Linked DNA regions of Arabidopsis thaliana. The protein of the gene in region 1 purifies or fractionates together with the protein of each later gene. This does not show direct contact. Each region holds a gene or a part of one and is shown in the gene's direction. Other genes may lie near its edges.

Region 1 (5,989 bases):
TTGAAATGGAGAAGGATGAAGTGTAATTTTAAAGGCTGCATACCTGTCCCGTCTTTTCTCGAGGAATCGTTGAAGCGAATGCCTCCTTGCAATAGGTAGATCTGTTACGGCAAACATAATTGTAAGAAACTAATGAGAGTATCCATTTTCAAGGTTTGAAGATTACTATAACCAGTTGAATCGAATACTTACCAGCCGTGGATCTGCAAAACGAGATTGGCTGAATAGGAAATGGCTGTGCAGCTGGTGATGCCACATTAGATGTGCTTGAGAAAGAAGGAGCTCTGTTCAGTGCTGGCGATGAGACAGGACTGATGCTTGTAGAATTCTTTGTCTCCATTGCTTTAGCAGCAATACGAAGGATTTCTTGAACCTATAGGCATAGATCACAGTGAGAACAGAAATTCTGAAGTTTTTCTGACAACAACAAAGCTCTAATGGACCAACCTTTTCTGATGGAAGTCCATCAAACACAGTAACACTTCCACCAAAGAAAATAGTAAGTTGATTTGGAGGAACCGTTGGCTCAGCGGTTTGAATCTCCGTGGACCTTCAATAGCAGAAGATCTATTAAACTTGTGACCGACACTATAAAGATGGACTTATTGATGCAACATTAAGAAAACTCTCCACATATGAATCCAGTCTCTCCAATTTCACATGTTAACGGTGAAGTTCTATTAATCAAATTCACATGAAAACTTATGTATGCATTAAAGGACTTTGAAAAACACAAGTTTGTTAAGAATCCAATTGTTCCAGCCAAAAAACAAATTGGTTCCATTGAGAAATATGACTTTCCCTAAATAGAAACTAAAGTAACCAGATCGAAATGCTGATCTTCCTTATCAGAAACAAGATACAATTTTAAGTACTAAACTCAAAGCAAAGAGAGAAACAGATAAAAACATGTGAAATCAACAGTAAACACAGCTCATACCTAACTTCGTTAATCGATTTCTCAACAGATCCGGTACCGCCGATCTCAGCCGCGCCGCCGTCACCGTCGGCAACACCACATCCACCTTCAACGGAAGCGCGTGGCTCATCTTTCACCTTAGTCATGGCTTGTCTCTCAAAATTTGTAGATCTGTCTTTTTCCGATGAGAATTTTGATACTTCTCTCCCTTAGAGTACTTTTGTTTCGCTTCGTCTCTACGTCGTTCAGACCGGGAACCTCCGAGATTTATCCTTCTCAGAAGCTCCTGTAATTTGACACCTGGCGATAGATATTGATTTTTATTGTTTGACTTTTGGTGCTACGACAGTAAAAGACAACAAGAGGGTAATTAGAAACGTGCTCGAATATGATACGGTGTCGTTGGCCTTCTATGTGGGACATGCTTTCTCATTTCGGTTATCCGGAACTCCAAACGTGTATAATTTATAAGTGGCTGAGACGTTAAACTAATTGAGTTTGCTGGACCTTGATTCATTGGGCTCTTAAAGTACTGTTGGGCTTAGTCGTCTTAAAATGACTTCTAAAATGGACCTTGACTGCTTACATTTATAATGTTTCTCTTTCTATTTTATAAGCCTCTTTACATTTATAGTTTTTTTTAGTAACAATATTCGCATACAAATCACGAATTAATTTATTTCTGTTTTTGTATTCGACCGCTAAATCATCACCAAATTCAAATTTGTATATGGAACATTTTTTTTTTTCCTCTATATAATCAAACAAAATGCAAAATTGTCGAAACTATAAAATTTACTTCTTAATGTAACTTATAACTTTTTGGTTAAGGGTTAATCTAAACTTTTTAGTTTTTACTGAAGGGCGCATAAGAAATCTGGGAAATACGAGGGTAGTTTGGTCTTTACGAGTTTCATTTAGGGTTCCGAAAGATCTGGGTTTTGGCTCTCTCCTCTCATTTTCTACTCTTCTTCAAAAGCACACTCAATATTTCGAGATCCTCTCGGCTTGTTCGTTCTTCGTGAACGATCCCATCTATTGTTTCTCGCTAGTCTCAGATTCGACTAACTTGGATATCTCCGATACTGAAGAAGCCTCCTTCTTCTTTTTCCGCTCTTCCCGATGCCGGTAATGTTCCTCCGTCGTCTCTTTCAATCCTTTTGCTTTTCCCCAGTGCTCTCCGTTAACTGAACTTAGCTATTTCGTATTTAGATCGATAAGATCTTCAAAGATGATGCTAGTGAAGAGAAGGGAGAACGTGCGAGGATGGTGAGTCTTTTGAATCGATTAGGATTTAGGGTTTTTCAGATTCACTCTTCTACTGTTTAAATCTGATTTTCTTTTCTTTTGTTGTTGCTCTTTTAGGCATCATTTGTTGGTGCAATGGCTATCAGTGATCTGGTTAAGTCTACTTTAGGGCCAAAGGGCATGGTAATTTCCGATCTCTGAATATTTAGAAAGCTACAAACTTTCAATTTGGTTCTATTGATTATTGTTGAATCCTTTTTATTATTGTTTAGGATAAAATCTTGCAATCTACTGGTAGAGGTCATGCGGTCACTGTTACTAACGATGGTGCTACTATTCTCAAGTCACTTCACATAGACAACCCTGCAGCTAAAGTTCTTGTTGGTATGTAATTTCCCTGCGACATTCTGGCATGAAGTTTTCACATTCGTTTTTTCTTAGTTGGGTTTTCTCTCACAGTTCGTTGTATCTGGTTTGTTCTTCAGACATCTCGAAAGTTCAAGATGATGAGGTTGGTGATGGAACTACCTCTGTTGTTGTCTTGGCCGGCGAGCTTCTGAGGGAAGCAGAAAAGCTTGTGGCTTCTAAGATTCACCCTATGACCATCATAGCAGGTACACTTTTGGAGCTTTAAGTGTTAAGATGTCAACTTTGTATCAGCTTCTCTCACTATGGCAATGATTTCTAATTTTTTCGTTTTCTGGTTTCTTAGGTTACAGAATGGCTTCGGAATGTGCTCGTAATGCTTTACTGAAAAGAGTCATTGATAACAAGGACAATGCAGGTAATCATTATAGAGATGGTTAAACCTTGTTATGCTGACATATTTAAGTATAGCATTTTCTTGTTTGTGTGATTACTTCGACTGTTGGGTTCAAGCGGTGATTTCCTTTCAGTTGAATACAGAACGGAAATCACACTGTTATTTTACAGCATTGTATTTTTGTCAATGCAGAGAAGTTTAGGTCAGACTTGTTGAAGATTGCGATGACTACTTTATGTTCCAAAATTCTCTCACAGGACAAGGAACATTTTGCAGAAATGGCCGTGGATGCTGTTTTCAGGCTAAAGGTTCCATTTCTTCCTCCTTTTGAAACTGATTCAGCAATGTCATGTGTTCCTTCCTTCTTTTTCTCTTGATTTATGTGTTATCTCATGAAAGAAGATCTTCCTTTGACGAAATGTCATGAAATTAGGCTATTATCATTTCACCATTAGTCTTTCCCATAGTTGCATCGTTTCGTTTTGGATTGTTATATGATTTTTTTCTGACATTCTGCTTTTATCGTTCAACAGGGAAGCACAAACTTGGAAGCTATTCAGATCATCAAAAAACCTGGAGGGTCTCTGAAGGATTCGTTTTTGGATGAAGGGTAAGACAACACTTTGTGCCTTTGGCGTCAGTTCAAATTCAGTTTTCTGAGCTATTGATCTTTCTTTAGTATTCATCTGTTCATGGTAACTCTGTCGTGTTTCTTTTCTTCTTCATAGCTTACGCACCTTAATTTCATTTATAGTGTTATTTTGGAATGTTGATAGTCATCATGTCATCTTGTTGTGTTGTGTTTCTTCTTCTATCGAGTAATATGGTCTCATGTCACCTCAACTTAAAATCTATGCCTGTAGGTTTATTCTTGACAAGAAAATAGGAATTGGGCAGCCTAAGCGCATAGAGAATGCAAATATCTTAGTAGCTAATACTGCTATGGATACCGATAAAGTGAAGATTTACGGTGCACGTGTCCGTGTGGATTCCATGACCAAGGTTGCTGAGATTGAAGGGGCTGAGAAGGAAAAAATGAAAGACAAGGTGAAGAAGATCATAGGCCACGGAATCAACTGCTTTGTTAACAGGCAGTTGATCTACAATTTCCCTGAGGAACTCTTTGCTGATGCTGGTATACTTGCTATTGAGCATGCTGACTTTGAGGGAATAGAGCGTCTTGGTTTGGTTACTGGTGGTGAAATTGCTTCGACCTTTGACAACCCAGAGTCTGTTAAGCTTGGGCATTGCAAGCTTATAGAAGAAATCATGATTGGTGAAGACAAGTTGATTCATTTCTCTGGTTGTGAAATGGGCCAGGCTTGTTCAATTGTCCTAAGAGGGGCCAGGTATCCATTTTCACTCCCATTACTTGAAAGACTTCGTCTAAACTTTATTCTGTTTCTAATTCACTAATCAATTTTTGTATGGGTTCTTTTTTCTTGCAGTCACCATGTCCTAGATGAGGCTGAAAGATCACTCCATGATGCCTTATGTGTACTCTCTCAAACAGTGAATGATACTAGAGTTTTGCTTGGAGGTGGATGGCCAGAGATGGTGATGGCAAAGGAAGTAGATGAGCTTGCAAGGAAAACTGCTGGCAAAAAATCTCATGCCATTGAAGCTTTCTCACGTGCTCTAGTTGCTATACCGACAACAATCGCTGACAACGCTGGTTTAGACAGTGCCGAATTGGTTGCTCAGCTTCGTGCAGAGCACCACACTGAAGGGTGTAACGCTGGGATCGACGTCATCACTGGAGCTGTAAGTAAACTTTATAAACATTAGGATTCGCCATTGAATGTGCAAGGCTAGACTTGAATTGTGATGATGATGATTGATTGTTTACAGGTAGGAGATATGGAAGAGAGAGGAATCTATGAAGCATTCAAAGTGAAGCAAGCGGTTCTGCTTTCAGCCACAGAAGCATCTGAGATGATATTGCGAGTGGATGAAATCATTACATGTGCTCCTAGGAGGAGAGAAGACAGGATGTGAAAAACTCAACACAAACACATGAACGTGGTGGGAGCCTAGAGATTCCATGATTGTGTTTTCGATTTGGATCAGAATACAACTTTTCTAATATGTTTAATGTTTTGCTCCTCCTTAGAACTCATCTTTTTGTTTTGTTTCCTTTTAATCTTGTTTTGAGTTTGAATTTAGACGTTTGAAAAAAGTGTTAGCTCCAAAGTTTTTAATTTGTTTGGTTGTGACGTTGTGTCTTCTGTTTCTACCTGCATCCCATTTTGGCATTTTCACTGAGATGGTTCTGATATAATAGGGATGTGTGGAAAAGAAAAACGAAGTACCAAAACGTAAGTTATTTGGATACCAAAGGAAAACTTGAAGGATCCCATTTCTGAAAAAATCGTAGGCCATCTTATATATAAATAAATATCTATAAGGTATATCATTCATCACCTACAACGATGAGGTAGTTTTGCGTTGTAAAGGTTTGGTCAACCGACCAAACCACATTATAAAGCAGAGCAGATCAAAACATGGGTCCTTGCAATCGCAAACTTTAATTATAGCGACCCTTTATCAATCGTCTTACCAGAAAAAATATGTTTGTTTTTCGATTTTGTTGTTTTATATATGATTTGATTTGAATTCATGGTTTCATATATTTCAACTTCTTTTACCAAACAGTTAAAAGTCCCACAAAAAAAGTGCACCAGTTTATCAAGAAATTTTAATGGAAATGCATAAACTATACATTTTCAGAAAATTATAATAAAACAAATAATATTGAGCCGACATGAATTCATAGTCTAGACTCTAGGGACAAGGTTCGATAGATTGGTTGACATGTCATCCTAGGTTTAAATTTGGGCTTCCAAAGGTGTTCGATTTTCAAGAATTTATCACGATTCTGTTATTCAAGACTCTTTATCTTTATTATAGTTCCTGGGAGATCAAGACAGAGCAATGCATATTCCTTTGTGAAGAAATCTCTTAAACGTTTGTTGTTGATACCTTGTCTTGTTTTGATAATCTCCTGATTACTACAATTTTTTGTCAAGGCCACCATTTTTATTTGATTCTTTTGTAGC
Region 2 (3,402 bases), on another chromosome or scaffold:
TGAAAGCTGAAACCAAGATACACTTGGCAGGCAAAAGAACTTAAAACTAGACTGACCATCACAGGAGACTGAGGTCTCATTGCTCTTCCACCAGGAAGTCCAATACTTGGTCTACTGCTCGTTACATCCACTGAAAAATCATCATCCTCATTGTCCTCATCAACTAACTGTGGAGTTGCCATCTGTTGACGCCTTGCCATAGGATTCCTAATCTGTCAGTCCAGAAAACACTATCACATAAAATCCCTACATTGCAAAACCCTCATTACAGTGAAAAAGTGAGTCTGTTAATTTTAATTACCACAGGAGAGCGAGAAGGATGAGATCTTCCAGCTGCGAGTCCAATGCTCCCTGTTCCGATAGCATTATAGTCAAAGGAAAGGTCTTCATCACTATCTTCCTCGTCCCCTGTTTGATTTGACATCACAGCCGCAAGTCTCTGAGCAGCTGCTTTTGTCTGAGCTTTCTTAGCATTCGAAGCTGGCCCAGCATTTGATCCTGAACGTGTATGACGATGCATTAGAGGAGACGTCATCATAGGCGAAGATGGTGTTCCTGGTTCCGTACTCTTATTCCTAACATGAATAGGTCTCGTGTTTCTCATCGTCAACTACAAAAATTAAGCACATTGATTTTCATCATCACATTCACATCAATGGCAGTTTGATTGGAACTAAAAATTCCACACATTGAATTAAAAAAATAGTTACCAAATTTGTCAAAATTTTGGAAATCACAGAAAAGTGAAATCCAGAAAAATGGAAAAAGAATTAAATGCGTGAATTAAACAGAACCTTACAAAATTAGATTCAACAGAAATCTCAAAGAATGTTTCAAAAGAAAAAGCAATGAATAAATTTGCCATTTATGGCAGCACATATTTCTCTCTCTGACTGATCTTCGGTCATTTAGCCAGAAATTGCGAGTGGCTTTCAACGGTCGGATTGAGAACAGTTTCTTCTTTAATTATTTATACTTTCATCCCCAATAATTTATTATTGTTATCGATAGTACCTAAATTTATTTATTTTATAGTTTTCATCCCACGATTGTGTAATAATTATCCAAAGTACCCTTTTCCAATTATAATAGCATTATCATCTTTTTGTTTATGGTTTAGGTACAGTTTTTAAAGTTTTCTCACGGTTTGTAAAATAGAAAAAGGAAAATCAAGTAACTAAGAGATATATTATTTGATTTGATAGTTAGCTCGTAATTGTTTCGTCTACCACAACGGCATATAGAAATTTATATTTCTAGTTATGACTTATGATCAGTGATTATAGCATATGTTGTATGATAAAAAATATTTTTCATATAGTTTTTATTTCTTATTAAATTATTAATTACTTATTAGGCAATACATATTTTTTCATTTATTACTTGATATCTCTAACTTTTGCTCTCTTTGTAATACGTAAGTGTAACTTATCTCTGTGTTGTTTTTATGCTTGGCAACATCAATCCTTAATAAGATAGATGAGCTTTTTATCATATCCGAAATAGCCTCTAAGCAGCAGAAAGATGAAAGAGATGATTTAGCCATTCCTTTTGCTAGATCAATTCTCAACCATAAAGATTCTTTGAAAGAGATGAGACTGATAACATTTCGGGATATACAAAATCCTTGGAAAAGGTGAATGATGCGTCCTTATTACTATTTATTATTTCTAGAGTTAAAACATAAATATCATATTTGTTTTTTTGTTCGGTAGGCTCTTGAGATACTTCAAGAACAAGTTAAGATATCTGAGAGACTATGGTTGTGCAAGAGACTTTTCTTTCCCGAATGAGGATGATAACTAGCAAGCAGTTTAACCAAAAAAGTTTAAATTCTTTAGTACTTGAGGTATTTTATTCATGTAAGATTTTTTTTATTATTTCTCATTTCTTCAGTGTTATTGCAATAGAATGGTTCATCTGTTTACAGGTATGCTCTTAAGTCCTAACGAATGCAATGACCATGAACATTGATGATGTCCATGTTGCCAAGATATTGGGAGTAGACTCTCGCAAATCTTGCGTTGTCTGTGGTATCGTCTTTAAAAGTGACGATGTAGGTAACATTAGGCATCCTTTGAAAAATGCAAAGGTGAGACCAGGTTGAACAAATCTTGCATAACATGGCATCCTTTGTAACTGTCTTTCTCAAGGATGGTTGTGTTTTTAATTGTTGACTATTTTTCTCCTTTATTTTGGGTTCTAGTCTTCTAGGTACATAACTTTGGAAAGTCAAAGGAAGCCATGCTTGAGACTTTGGTTAAAGATATTGCTTTTTCCAATGTAAAAGTTATTGTTAGTCGGTCATCAATTTGTGAAATGACACTACGTTTCTGCAAAATTTACAAGTAAGTAATCTCTAACATTTGAACCTACTTTGAATCATTTTTTCTGAACCTTTTGATAAATACAGTGTTGGCAATACCATTTTTTTTAGGATAATGGTTCTACAGATTTCTTCTGACATTGATATTAACAGTTTATGTTCAATAGTTGGTGCAATTGATTCATCTCAGCATTTCCAACCTCATCATCTTGGATACATGGATTCTACATCATTATCAGAGATTGGTAATTCCTCAACAATCACTTTGTGTGGAACGAAATGGAAAGTCTTAACCAAACAACAAAGCTACATTACTCATGGAATCAATACATACAATTTAATACTTGTATATTTACTGAATTAGTTATTCTTGTCTGTAGCCAAGAGAGCTGTAAAGAAGGCAGAGAGAGATGCAGAGAGGGCTGAGAGAGCCTCTCAGAAGAAAGCAGAGAAGTTTAAGAGTAAGCTCCAGGCTGAGAAAAAGAAGGATTGAAACTAGATCAGATAATTGATGTGTTTCTTTTTATCATGTAATGAATGACTTAGAGTAATGTAGAGATTATTGTTCTTAAAAGGTTTGCGGGAGCTGTCTTCACTAAAGGTAAAAAAATCTTAACATGTGAACTCTTTTTGTCGACTCTATCCTTTTTTAGAAGCAGAGGTCTGTTATTAGATGATTATTTAAGAGACATTTTTGAAGTATTTGCTCTGTATAAAGGATCATGAGGCATTTTTTTGTCATGTCTCAAAAATAGACGGAATACATTATCAAAGTTTATATATTTATAGATTATAATGTGTAAGAAAGCAATGTACAACCATGTCTAACGCATAAGCCCCAATAACGTAAAAGCCAGCACCTCTTCAGAACAATCTCTTCCTAAAGAGAGCTCCAGATGAGAAACTATCGATTTAAAAAATACACTAGATGGAAACAAAAAGTATGAACCTTTAAAAATACTCCTCTCGAGTCAATATCAATCTATTAGTCACGGTCTTAAGAGAGTTAAGCTCGAATTCAACTTTATAAAGGTGCTCTAACGAAGATGTTGCCTCCTCCCTAGCAATCTAAAACG
Region 3 (6,471 bases), on another chromosome or scaffold:
AAGATAATATCAGGAGGCGAATTATACGCGTTACTCTACACTGTAAGTGTTTGTTTATTTTCTTAGATTAAGACTCTTTTGAATGGTGTGATTGATTTTGGTGTGAGTTTGAATATATTTCAGGGTTTAGTTGGTTCAGCAATGGTGTTTGCAATACAAATATATGTAGTGGAAAGAGGAGGACCTCTGTTTGTATCAGCGTATTTGCCTCTTCAAACTTTGATTGCTGCTGTTTTAGCTACTTTAGCTCTTGGTGAACACTTTTACCTTGGAGGGTATGTTATCTATATGTTTTGACTCATTATGCGTTTTATTTTCATATCTTATAGTTAAGTTTCTTACACATTTTTTAATGTTTGTTTTGGTCAGATTGATAGGTGCAATACTAATCATGAGTGGACTATACTTAGTTGTGATGGGAAAGAGTTGGGAGAATCAAGCTCTTTGCCAACAACAACAACACATGATTTCTTCAGCAGCATCAGATTTTGGTGATGAAGAAGACTACCATAATAATAAACCAAGATCTCCTATTAGTCAACCATTAATTTCTTCCTAAATTTTGTTAGATCCTATTTATGTCTTAAATTCCTAGTTCCTACTCTCTTCCTCATTAAAATCGAAATGGACCCGGTTGACGAAATAGAGATAAAAATAAATTTGGTTAAAATCGGTTTAGAATTAAATCGATTGGTTTGGGTTTAGTGCCACAGTGGTTAGGTGAGTAGAGTTGTGGTTCGGTTCAGGTTATGATATTATAACCTGGAGGGATCAAAATTGGCGCTTTTAAAAACCAAACAAACAAAAACAGAGAGGAAACAAAAAAATGAGAAAGCAAGAATCAGAGGGAGCGAATCTTGAATTCGAATCCAAATCAAATGACAATGGAAATGTGAAAATCGCACCAAACGACCAAAGTTTCCTCACAATTCTTGACGACATAAAGTCTTCCAAATCTCCGGTTCTTACACACGACAACTTATACATTTGTACACGTTTTTAAGACCGAAGCTGGTTTTTTTTCGTAATCTGACTGTTCTTCTTGTTTTTGCTTTGTTATATTCAGGCTGTTATTAACTATGGAGCTTCTTGGTACACCTTATTCTCTGTTTTTACGATTACGCTTTTCATGCTTATAAAGTGTTCGATGAAATGCCTCAATGAGAACGGTTTTGTTTTGAAACTTTCAGGTGTGGAGTTTGTAGCCAGATTCTTCCTGCATTCCGAAAGCTCAGCAACAGTTTCTCGAAGCTCAAGTTTGTTTATGCAGATATCGACGAGTGCCCTGAAACCACTCGTCACATCCGTTACACACCCACGTTTCAGTTTTACAGAGACGGCGAGAAAGTCGATGAGATGTTTGGAGCTGGTGAACAGAGGCTCCATGATCGTCTTTGGCTTCACTCTTGAATATGTTCATCAAATATTAACTATGAAAATCTGCATTCCTTTTGTGATACTTTAAATGCCAACACAAAAAATACTTGGCTCTTCGACAATAATCCCCTGAATAAGTTTGGACTTTGGTAGATTAATGTTAGGGATAAACTTACAGAAACATCAAAGGTTAAACAGAGGATGGAGCTAACATTCATGATACAACTCTTGACAAATAAATATGAACACCGAGCTCCTCACGGCGGCTCTTTCCCTCTCAAATAATTTGGTTTAACCGGGTATAATGACCTTGAGAAACATTGAAGTCTCTAAATCACACTCTTGCCAATCTCAAAAGCACCAAGCTTCACCTCTAAACGGTTTTGTTTTCCAGGAATGAATTGGGTTAATGTAACTTTCTAATTTGGGTCAGGTTTGAGATTGGACGGTCTTCCACCACAAAAAATATCAACCATTAAAACTTTTATTGTTGCCCATTAAGACCGACCTTCTTTTCGTAATTTTTTTTTTAAAACGTAACTTTGTTGAATTTGTAAAAAAAATCTCTTGTGAAATTATCACAATGTTTATTCAAAACTAAATAAGAACATACTAGAAGCTTTTCTAAATTGGAAGATGTATAAAAAAAAAATAGAAGAAAAGAATAATAATAATGGAAAACAAATACTATAAAATAAACGTTTCTTTGATAACAAGAAACGGATTTGTCTTCTATATAAATAAAACACACACCTGTCTATTTATTTACACTTCTCGAATCTTCTTTTTCTTCTCTGCGAAGCTCTCTCTCTCTCTCTACTCGATTATCAAACATGGCGAATCAAGCTGAATCATCTGATTCGTAAGTACTTGTTAATTACTGAGTAACTCTTTAAGGTTTTGTTAGTCTTCGTGTTGGGGTTTTTCTAATTCTATTTTTTTTTCTCTGAATATCTCAGGAAGGGGACGAAGAAGGATTTTAGCACCGCGATTCTGGAGAAAAAGAAGGCAGCGAATCGTTTGGTTGTGGATGAAGCCATTAACGATGATAACTCCGTCGTTTCTCTTCACCCTGATACCATGGAGAAGCTACAGCTTTTTCGTGGTGATACTATCTTAATCAAGGTTTGATTTTTGAATTTTAAGGCTCTTCTTCTCTTGTTTCCTTTACTGAATTAGGGTTTATAAGGTTTTGTGATTGTTCATTGGTTTGCTGCTAGGGTTTATCAGAAGGGTTGTTTTTTGAATTAGGTCTTTCAATTTTCATGCTTTTGTTTTGGGATAGTTTCTTTGAGTTGTGTGTATTTACATCTTTGTTTTCTCTCTTTTTGTTTTGGGAATCTGTGGTTGCAGGGAAAGAAGAGGAAGGATACTGTGTGTATTGCTTTAGCTGATGAGACATGTGATGAACCAAAAATTAGAATGAACAAGGTTGTTAGGTCTAATCTCAGAGTTAGGCTTGGGGATGTTATTTCTGTTCATCAATGTCCTGATGTCAAGTATGGGAACCGTGTTCACATCTTACCTTTAGATGATACCATTGAAGGAGTAAGTGGCAATATATTTGATGCATACCTTAAACGTAAGCGTTTTCTCTTCCCTGTTTTTGTCATTTAAGTTGTGCTCTGCTTATATGCTTCTTGATGTGTTCTGTTTTTATCACAGTAGTTTAATGTCTGTTTTTTTTATTTTTTATTGCCAGCTTATTTCTTAGAGGCATATCGTCCGGTGAGGAAGGGCGATCTTTTCCTAGTTAGAGGAGGGATGAGAAGTATTGAGTTTAAGGTTATTGAAACTGATCCTGCTGAGTACTGTGTGGTTGCTCCAGATACAGAAATTTTCTGTGAAGGTGAACCGATAAAGAGAGAGGATGAGGAGAGGTTGGATGAAGTTGGGTATGATGATGTTGGTGGTGTCAGGAAACAAATGGCTCAGATTCGTGAACTTGTTGAGCTCCCATTGAGGCATCCACAGCTCTTCAAGTCTATTGGTGTGAAACCTCCCAAAGGAATCTTGCTCTATGGCCCTCCTGGTTCTGGGAAGACACTTATTGCCCGTGCTGTTGCTAATGAGACTGGTGCATTTTTCTTCTGTATCAATGGTCCCGAGATCATGTCGAAGCTAGCTGGTGAGAGTGAAAGTAACCTCAGGAAAGCGTTTGAGGAAGCTGAGAAGAATGCCCCTTCGATCATATTCATTGATGAGATCGATTCGATTGCTCCAAAAAGAGAGAAGACTCACGGAGAAGTTGAAAGACGGATTGTATCCCAGCTCTTGACACTTATGGATGGTCTTAAATCCAGAGCCCATGTGATTGTTATGGGAGCTACCAACCGTCCCAACAGCATTGACCCTGCTTTGAGAAGATTTGGACGTTTTGATAGAGAAATTGATATTGGTGTTCCTGATGAGATTGGTCGTCTTGAAGTTCTCAGGATTCACACCAAGAACATGAAGCTTGCGGAAGATGTAATGTTCTGTTACATATAATTATTTTCTTCTTTTCTTTTACCTTTTTCTATTTGTTTAGATCTGACATTATTTTCTCTTATTCAGGTTGATTTGGAAAGAGTATCTAAAGACACCCATGGGTATGTTGGTGCTGATCTTGCAGCATTATGCACTGAAGCTGCTCTCCAATGCATTAGGGAGAAGATGGATGTAATTGACCTAGATGACGAGGAGATAGATGCTGAAATTCTCAATTCTATGGCTGTCAGTAATGATCATTTCCAGACTGCCCTTGGTAACAGCAATCCTTCAGCTCTACGTGAGACTGTCGTTGAGGTGCCTAATGTGTCTTGGGAGGACATTGGTGGTCTTGAGAATGTCAAGAGGGAGCTCCAAGAGACTGTTCAATATCCAGTGGAGCATCCTGAGAAATTCGAGAAGTTTGGGATGTCACCGTCTAAAGGAGTCCTATTCTATGGCCCCCCTGGTTGTGGAAAGACCCTCTTGGCTAAGGCTATTGCGAACGAGTGTCAAGCCAACTTCATTAGTATCAAGGGTCCTGAGCTCCTCACAATGTGGTTTGGAGAGAGTGAAGCCAATGTGAGAGAGATATTCGACAAGGCACGACAGTCTGCCCCTTGTGTTCTTTTCTTTGATGAGCTGGACTCCATCGCCACTCAGGTATTGTACTTGGTTTCTTAATCTCTCTACTTAGGCAACTTATGCCCTTTACCTTTATCTCAGAAAAATTAATGAACATCTCTTATAATAACAGAGAGGGAACAGTGTTGGAGATGCTGGTGGTGCAGCAGATAGAGTATTGAACCAGCTTCTTACGGAGATGGATGGAATGAATGCTAAGAAGACGGTCTTCATCATCGGAGCTACAAACAGACCAGACATTATTGATCCTGCACTTCTGCGTCCTGGTCGTCTCGATCAGCTCATCTACATTCCTCTTCCTGATGAGGAGTCTCGTTACCAGATCTTTAAGTCTTGCTTGAGGAAATCACCTGTGGCGAAAGATGTTGACCTGAGGGCTCTTGCTAAGTACACCCAAGGCTTCAGTGGTGCGGACATCACAGAGATTTGCCAGCGTTCTTGCAAGTATGCGATCAGAGAAAACATCGAGAAGGATATTGAGAAGGAGAGGAAGAGAGCAGAGTCGCCAGAAGCAATGGAAGAGGATGAGGAGGAGATTGCAGAGATTAAAGCTGGTCACTTTGAGGAATCCATGAAATACGCTAGGAGATCAGTGAGTGATGCAGACATTCGCAAGTATCAGGCTTTTGCTCAGACTCTCCAGCAATCACGTGGGTTTGGAAGCGAGTTCAGGTTTCCAGATGCGCCGACAGGGACTACTGGAGCTTTCCCTGGAGCTGCTGCCACAGTTGGGGGAGTCGACCCGTTTGCCACATCCGGAGGAGCAGCGGATGATGATGATCTCTACAGTTGAAAGGTCTGATCAGACCCTGTGACTACTCTCTTTAGTCTTTAACTTTGTTCTGCTTGAAAAACTTTCGATGGTCTTTGTTGTGTTTTATTTATAAGTCTTTTGTATATAATCGTTGAGACTCTAGAACAATGATGGTGTCATGATGAAATAAATCTAGAGAAATGAGAACACTGCATTCATCCCAAAGGAAACCGGATATACATACACAGATTTTGCGAGTACACAGATTCTACACCCTAACTAGAAAGAATCATCAAACTGATGTAATTGTTGAAATATCTTCTTTATATAAAATAGAAGTGCACAGTTGAGATCTCACGAGTCTCTCTCTCTTTATTTATTCTGGAAGCGGAACCAGACTTGGAACGTAAACAAAGTTAACACAATAGTTAAGTTCATCTTCACCGCTAAAGGGTTGTCCTGTCTCAACTTGTTTTCTGATCTCATCCAGACCACCAATTTGGTACAAGCTGGTTCAAGCATAATCCTCTCCTGCAACTTTATTGCAGCATAAGGCCTGTATCTGTTATGTATCAAGATTATAACAAAAATAAAGACGATGTCAAATTTTGTTCAAAAAGAGTCCAACTAAAAATTCCTCAAATTTTTCACTCATTTACATTGTTTACTTTTGCAAGTTATGAAAATCGCTCTATAAAACCTTTTTGCACTTAGTAGAAGTCCTTTTACAAAAAAAAAAGTTAAAAACTTTGTGTTTTTTTTCTTTCTTTTGGGTGACATTGTGGGTAATTTACTTTTCGAGTTTGTTGTGCTCATCTCTCAAACATATCTCATTTGGACTCTTTTGATTATTGCAAATATTAATTATAAAGTCTTCATGATAAATCTTATGAATTTTGTTATACAGATAGAATCATTTGTGTAACCTGAGAGAAGGTTGAGAATATACACTTCTTTTCTCATTCTTCGTGATTGTATCACATATAACAGTTTTGTAATTGTAAGATTATATACAAACATACACACATAAATACTTTATTTGTTTGTTAATAAAAGATTGATGTTTTGGACTTTTTTAATTAACCATGCGTGATCTCGTGCATCTAGATTCTTTTCCGCAAGATAAGTCATCCTCACAGTAAAGTATGTATATCAGTATATACAGTTATGCACCACTACTACACAAGAAACAAACTTATGATGAGTGAGACGATCGCACAATCACG
Region 4 (5,758 bases), on another chromosome or scaffold:
AATGCTAATATATCTTATTAAATAATGCTATAGGTACCAGTGTCCGATTCCTATTGAGATGGTGAAGCCATTGGCTGAGATTGACTACGAAGGGCAAGGTATTTTAGAGTCTCACTCTTAATGACGTTTTTAAGCTCCCTGCCCTGCTGTCTTTTTTAAGTTTTTAAATTATCTCTTTCTTGTAGACGGATCTCCTAGAGGCAGAGGAGGAAGAAGAGGTAGAGGAGGAAGAGGAAGGGGAAGGGGAAGAGGTGGTAGAGGTAGGATTACTTTAGAAATTGTTTATACAGTGTCGTAGTTTCGTTGTAAGCTTTTGCATGTGATTTGTGGATAAGCGTTTGAGTGGACTGTGCTAATTCCTTTTTTCGACTTATCAGGAAATGGACCTGCGAATGTTGAGTATGATGATGGAGGAAGGGGAAGAGGTGGCAGAGGTAGGATATCTTTAGCCAAATCGTATTTGAGTATAGATTTTTGCATATGATTTGTGGATAAGGGTTTGAATGTGTTGTGCTATTTCTTTTTTTGTTTGATTTACCAGGAAACGGATATGTGAACAATGAGTATGATGATGGAGGAAGGGGAAGAGGCGGCAGAGGTAGAATTGCTTTAGAATATTTCTTTCCAAATCTTAGTTTTACCTTTTAACATATTTGCATGTGATCGGCGGACAAGTGTTTGATTGGCTTGTGCTATTTCTTCTTTCGGATTTGCCAGGAAGTGGATATGTGAACAATGAGTATAATGATGGAGGTATGGAGCAGGACCGGTCATATGGCAGAGGACGCGGGCGTGGGAGAGGAGGTGGACGTGGTGGTCGAGGAAGAGGAGGTTACAATGGCCCCCCACCACCTTACTATGAAGCTCAACAAGATGGAGGAGACTATGGATACAACAATGTTGCTCCTCCAGCAGACCATGGATATGATGGTCCTCCGCCTCAGGGACGTGGTACGTTGATGATTTTGTTACACTAATGTTTTCTCATTAAATAATGATGAGTTGTAAATGTTTAAAAATTGTTGGAACAGGACGTGGCCGTGGAAGGGGAGGTCGTGGAAGAGGAGGAGGCCGTGGTGGATTCAACAGATCAAATGGAGCACCTATCCAGGCTGCTGCATGAGCGACCAGGGTCATTGAATGAAGTTGGATCTTTCTTACATTCTCATGTTTTTGTCTCTGTTCTTCAAAGCAACTTGTTGCCGTAGAATAATCTTTCGTTCATGTCGCTTTAGGTTATATATATCCTCATTTATTTTATCATGGATCTTGGATTTTCAAGTTTTTATTCCTTCAAGAGTTTTCTAGTTTTGTCTCTTTTTTGAGTTTTGGATATTTGTTTGACTCCAATTACATTCGTCGGCGTATTGACACTAACAAGTAAACAACCCCCTTTGGCATTGCCTTTTTCCATTGGTTCGTATATCAGTTGATTATATATTCTAACAACATAAAAAGATAACAAGAAAAAATAATGAATAATAAAATTGTAATTCCAAGTTCCAACGTGTTTTGAGACAAAAAGAAATTAACCCAACTTGCGCTGGTTGTGTTTTGGGCTATTCGAAGAAAGCGTACGAAAATAAGTGAGAGAGGTCCAAACAAAACTAGTAACCAAAAAGTTAATCGCCGTTGCCGGGGATCGAACCCGGGCCACCCGCGTGACAGGCGGGAATACTTACCACTATACTACAACGACATTTGTTGCTCAATCGTAATGTAGAAGATATAAATACTAATATGGAAAAAAGCTGTCTTGAACAAAAAGAAATATACTTTTTTTGTTGTGTCCAAAAAAAGGAAAATACTTAGGAAAGAAAAGAGTCTCAGCAGCATCAGCTCGTCCTTAAATCTGATCCATCATCGTCACTTTCTCCCGGCGAATTCCGTTTTATCGATTTAGTAAGCTCTCTGTCTTTATCTCTCCGTCTTTCTCAGTCAACAAATTGGTTGAAACTTCAATCGGTTCCTTGAAATCTCACCGGCTTAGTTGCATACTTCTGCAAAAACCCTAACCTTGTTTTTGTCTTTGTGAAGAGTAACGAGATTTGTGCAAAGATGACTCAGGACGTGGAGATGAAAGATAACAACACCCCTTCTCAATCGATTATCTCTTCTTCTACCTCTACTATGCAGAGTAAATCTCGATCTGAATGCTTTAATTCTCGAACTGTTTTCATAATTGCTAAGTTTCTTCTGGGTTTTGACGCTTTGTTTCTTTGTTTCCCAGATTTGAAGGAGATTGCAGCACTCATCGATACTGGGTCTTACACGAAGGAGGTTCGTCGTATTGCTCGTGCTGTGCGTCTCACTATAGGGCTTAGGCAGAAACTCACCGGCTCTGTGCTCTCTTCCTTCCTGGATTTTGCTTTGGTTCCAGGATCCGAAGCTCACTCTCGCCTCTCTTCCTTTGTTCCTAAGGTATTTGTGGGTTTTACTTCTTCACTTTGATGTTTCAGAATTCTCAACTTGGTTGTTCCTTTTAGCATCTGGCTTTAGGTTGTTTAGATTCGTGTTATGGTTGTTATACTTTCTTTTGATGTTGTGAATGGCAAGTTATCTAACATACAACTGGCTTAGAGACTGAAATATTGGAACTTTTAATGGTTTAGGGTGATGAACATGACATGGAAGTTGATACTGCCTCATCGGCCACACAAGCTGCTCCTTCTAAGCATCTACCTGCAGAGCTCGAGATCTACTGCTACTTCATTGTTCTTCTTTTTCTGATTGATCAGAAGAAGTACAACGAGGTAACTACTGCTGTATCTTTGTGTTTTGTCATAAGTTACTTTTCTGTTGTGATTTTAATTTTAATGAGTTGCTTTTAATCATCTCTTAGGCTAAAGCTTGTTCTTCAGCAAGCATTGCTCGTCTCAAGAACGTCAACCGAAGGACCATTGATGTGATAGCATCAAGACTCTACTTTTACTATTCTTTGAGTTATGAGCAAACCGGTGATCTTGCTGAAATTCGCGGGTTAGTAGCTCAAAGACTGTTTTAGTTTTGTACTTTGTCTTACACCTCATATTAATCAGTAGCTCAATAGTTAATAATCTGGTCATTTTTTCTACCTGCAGTACTCTTCTTGCGTTGCATCATTCTGCAACGCTAAGACACGATGAGCTGGGTCAGGTATGTCTTTGTTTAGCTCATTCAGTCGGCATTCATTATTTTGAAACTGTTACTTGCTTCTTATTCAAATTTATCATGTTGAATGCAGGAAACCCTTCTGAACCTGTTGCTACGTAACTATTTGCATTACAACCTCTATGATCAGGCAGAGAAGCTAAGATCAAAGGCACCTCGCTTTGAGGCTCATTCAAACCAACAGGTAGCTCTTGGCTATTCCTTCATACTCTAAGTTTTCTCGGTTCTCTAGATTCTATATTTGCATGAAAACTCCAATGCCACTTCTGCAATCTTTCCAGAGAATTATTTTTTCTATTCGCTATAGCATTTTCCATCTAGGAGGCTCTTGTGTTTTCTTTTCAATCACTAATTATTTGCCGAACTTACTTGAAGTGTCCATTTTGCCTGTCCTTTTCATACTTCTGACACCACCTCTTACCATTACCATCGATCTACCTTGTGTTTTTCTTTGCTACATATGAATTTTGTTCTTTTTTTAACCCTTCAATTGTTACTGTTTCAAAAGAATAAACAGCAAGATGACTTGTCTAAAACATTATACTTTGCAGTTTTGTAGGTACCTTTTCTATCTCGGGAAGATTCGTACTATTCAGCTCGAATATACGGACGCAAAAGAGAGCCTTCTTCAGGCGGCCAGGAAAGCCCCTATAGCAGCTTTGGGCTTCAGGATCCAATGCAATAAATGGGCAATTCTGGTTCGTCTACTGCTGGGTGAGATACCAGAGCGTTCTATCTTCACTCAAAAGGGTATGGAGAAGGCCCTCAGACCCTACTTCGAGCTAACAAATGTGAGTCCACTTTCATAATCTTGCTGCTGTGACATGTATTCATTAATTTATGAGCGGATAACTAAACTGGTATTAGTATGTGGTCACTTGTGATCTTGCTACTTCACTTCTGATTTTAAACCGGTTCCTACTTTTCACTTACTGGCCTATACACCTCTTCTGTTAAAATCTCTCTGTGGTCACTTGAAACACAATTTTGTTGCTGCTGTTGTTTTCTGCTCCTTCGAATTATATTGAACATGAATTTCTGGCTGTTTACTGTTGCTTTTTAGAGATATATGATGCAACTGGATAGTTGATACTGATTTTGATCTGAGGCTTACTATTAAAGCTCTGTTTTGATTTTACAGGCGGTTAGGATTGGGGACTTGGAGTTGTTTAGGACAGTCCAGGAGAAGTTCTTGGACACATTTGCTCAAGACAGAACGCACAATCTCATCGTGCGACTCCGCCACAATGTCATCAGGACTGGACTGCGGAACATAAGTATCTCCTACTCAAGAATCTCTTTACCCGATGTTGCCAAAAAGCTGAGGCTCAACTCTGAAAACCCTGTGGCTGATGCGGAAAGCATCGTGGCAAAGGCCATACGCGACGGAGCTATTGATGCTACAATCGATCACAAAAACGGATGCATGGTCTCCAAAGAAACTGGGGACATCTACTCGACGAATGAGCCACAAACTGCGTTCAACTCAAGAATTGCTTTCTGCCTCAACATGCATAACGAAGCTGTCAGAGCATTGAGGTTTCCTCCTAACACTCACAAGGAGAAAGAAAGCGATGAGAAGAGGAGAGAGAGGAAGCAACAGGAAGAAGAGCTTGCTAAGCATATGGCTGAGGAAGACGATGATGATTTTTAGACAAAGGTCATCTATTTCTTATAAGAGTTGACTCTCCATCTGTCTCACTTTTTTTATGTTCACAAGTTTACTTGGTACTCTTCTCATCGTCTCTAAGTGTTTCTTTATTGAGGATTTTTATCCTCAGGAACCTTTTTATTACTCTGGTTTCACTTTAGGAAAAGATATTTATCTTGTTGGTTTCAGAAGATCAAATTCAACTTCGTTTAATTGTGTTTGGGAGATTTTCGCATTTTAAGAATTGAACACTTGTAGTTATAGCTAGCTGTATTAGGTGGGTCATTATTAGAAATTGACCATGTGAAATGCTATCATCTCCAGGCGATGCATACCATTAAAATCCACATTCATAATTTACATTAAATGATAGATAAGCAGTCATAAATATCTAAAGAATGAAAACAGGACATGTGTATTGACCATTATGTGTATTGATACATTAGTCTATCTCTGCCAAACTAGGTCTCATTTTCTTGAATAAAACAATCTCATGTTATGCTTTTAATTATAGGTGTTTCTGGTTCGATTCATTAACTTCTTAATAATGACAAAAATCTGTAGAATAATACCCGGGCTCTTTGATAGCTACAACTGCCAACTATTTAATCCATACAATCAAAATGTAATTTTCATAATTGTAGATTTGTAATGGGTCAATATATTCTTACACTCTAATCATATCCAAACAAGCTCCTCAATTCCTTAATCTTGTTGTATCCAGTATCCATATTTTGTTTTCTTACTGCGGAAGTTACTTGGTAGTGTAGTCTGGATTTCGGATTGCAGACTTTGCAGTCCACGATTTTTCATATGTTGGTGACAACGAACAAGTGTTAAGTTGACGGAAGTGTTCGTAACAAACGACGTCGTGACGGTGATCTTCATCAACTTTGATTGGAAATCAAGTTTTGAGGGACAATTAACCCAAAAAAATAATCATAATGATAATGAAAG

What was found.
Region 2: the proteins of AT5G20890 (region 1) and AT4G08640 fractionate together in Arabidopsis thaliana (co-fractionation; one large-scale study listed by BioGRID). This does not show direct contact.
Region 3: the proteins of AT5G20890 (region 1) and AtCDC48B fractionate together in Arabidopsis thaliana (co-fractionation; one large-scale study listed by BioGRID). This does not show direct contact.
Region 4: the proteins of AT5G20890 (region 1) and EMB2719 fractionate together in Arabidopsis thaliana (co-fractionation; one large-scale study listed by BioGRID). This does not show direct contact.

What each region holds. Positions count from the first base shown.
Region 1 is NC_003076.8:7,085,959-7,091,947, reverse strand, and holds AT5G20890 (TCP-1/cpn60 chaperonin family protein), read left to right. Parts: upstream 1-1,778; 5' UTR 1,779-2,041; coding exon 2,042-2,047; intron 2,048-2,131; coding exon 2,132-2,188; intron 2,189-2,284; coding exon 2,285-2,350; intron 2,351-2,439; coding exon 2,440-2,551; intron 2,552-2,652; coding exon 2,653-2,781; intron 2,782-2,879; coding exon 2,880-2,951; intron 2,952-3,122; coding exon 3,123-3,238; intron 3,239-3,463; coding exon 3,464-3,540; intron 3,541-3,793; coding exon 3,794-4,279; intron 4,280-4,378; coding exon 4,379-4,694; intron 4,695-4,781; coding exon 4,782-4,928; 3' UTR 4,929-5,295; downstream 5,296-5,989. Other genes in the region: JAZ12 (jasmonate-zim-domain protein 12), read right to left, coding at 44-101, 193-373, 448-550, 941-1,065. UniProt on the Arabidopsis thaliana protein: Molecular chaperone; assists the folding of proteins upon ATP hydrolysis. Known to play a role, in vitro, in the folding of actin and tubulin.
Region 2 is NC_003075.7:5,511,356-5,514,757, forward strand, and holds AT4G08640 (ATP binding protein), read left to right. Parts: upstream 1-1,957; coding exon 1,958-2,092; intron 2,093-2,214; coding exon 2,215-2,348; intron 2,349-2,437; coding exon 2,438-2,571; intron 2,572-2,706; coding exon 2,707-2,819; downstream 2,820-3,402. Other genes in the region: AT4G08630 (fas-binding factor-like protein), read right to left, coding at 57-212, 302-604.
Region 3 is NC_003074.8:19,721,206-19,727,676, forward strand, and holds AtCDC48B (ATPase, AAA-type, CDC48 protein), read left to right. Parts: upstream 1-2,144; 5' UTR 2,145-2,210; coding exon 2,211-2,239; intron 2,240-2,336; coding exon 2,337-2,502; intron 2,503-2,730; coding exon 2,731-2,959; intron 2,960-3,079; coding exon 3,080-3,846; intron 3,847-3,933; coding exon 3,934-4,509; intron 4,510-4,603; coding exon 4,604-5,284; 3' UTR 5,285-5,923; downstream 5,924-6,471. Other genes in the region: UMAMIT6 (nodulin MtN21 /EamA-like transporter family protein), read left to right, coding at 1-42, 124-275, 370-559; AT3G53220 (Thioredoxin superfamily protein), read left to right, coding at 827-961, 1,067-1,092, 1,191-1,410.
Region 4 is NC_003070.9:7,000,455-7,006,212, reverse strand, and holds EMB2719 (PAM domain (PCI/PINT associated module) protein), read left to right. Parts: upstream 1-1,780; 5' UTR 1,781-1,902; intron 1,903-2,037; 5' UTR 2,038-2,058; coding exon 2,059-2,137; intron 2,138-2,230; coding exon 2,231-2,421; intron 2,422-2,612; coding exon 2,613-2,753; intron 2,754-2,842; coding exon 2,843-2,979; intron 2,980-3,080; coding exon 3,081-3,135; intron 3,136-3,223; coding exon 3,224-3,334; intron 3,335-3,701; coding exon 3,702-3,941; intron 3,942-4,291; coding exon 4,292-4,804; 3' UTR 4,805-5,126; downstream 5,127-5,758. Other genes in the region: AT1G20220 (Alba DNA/RNA-binding protein), read left to right, coding at 34-98, 186-260, 378-434, 542-598, 718-951, 1,032-1,123. UniProt on the Arabidopsis thaliana protein: Acts as a regulatory subunit of the 26 proteasome which is involved in the ATP-dependent degradation of ubiquitinated proteins.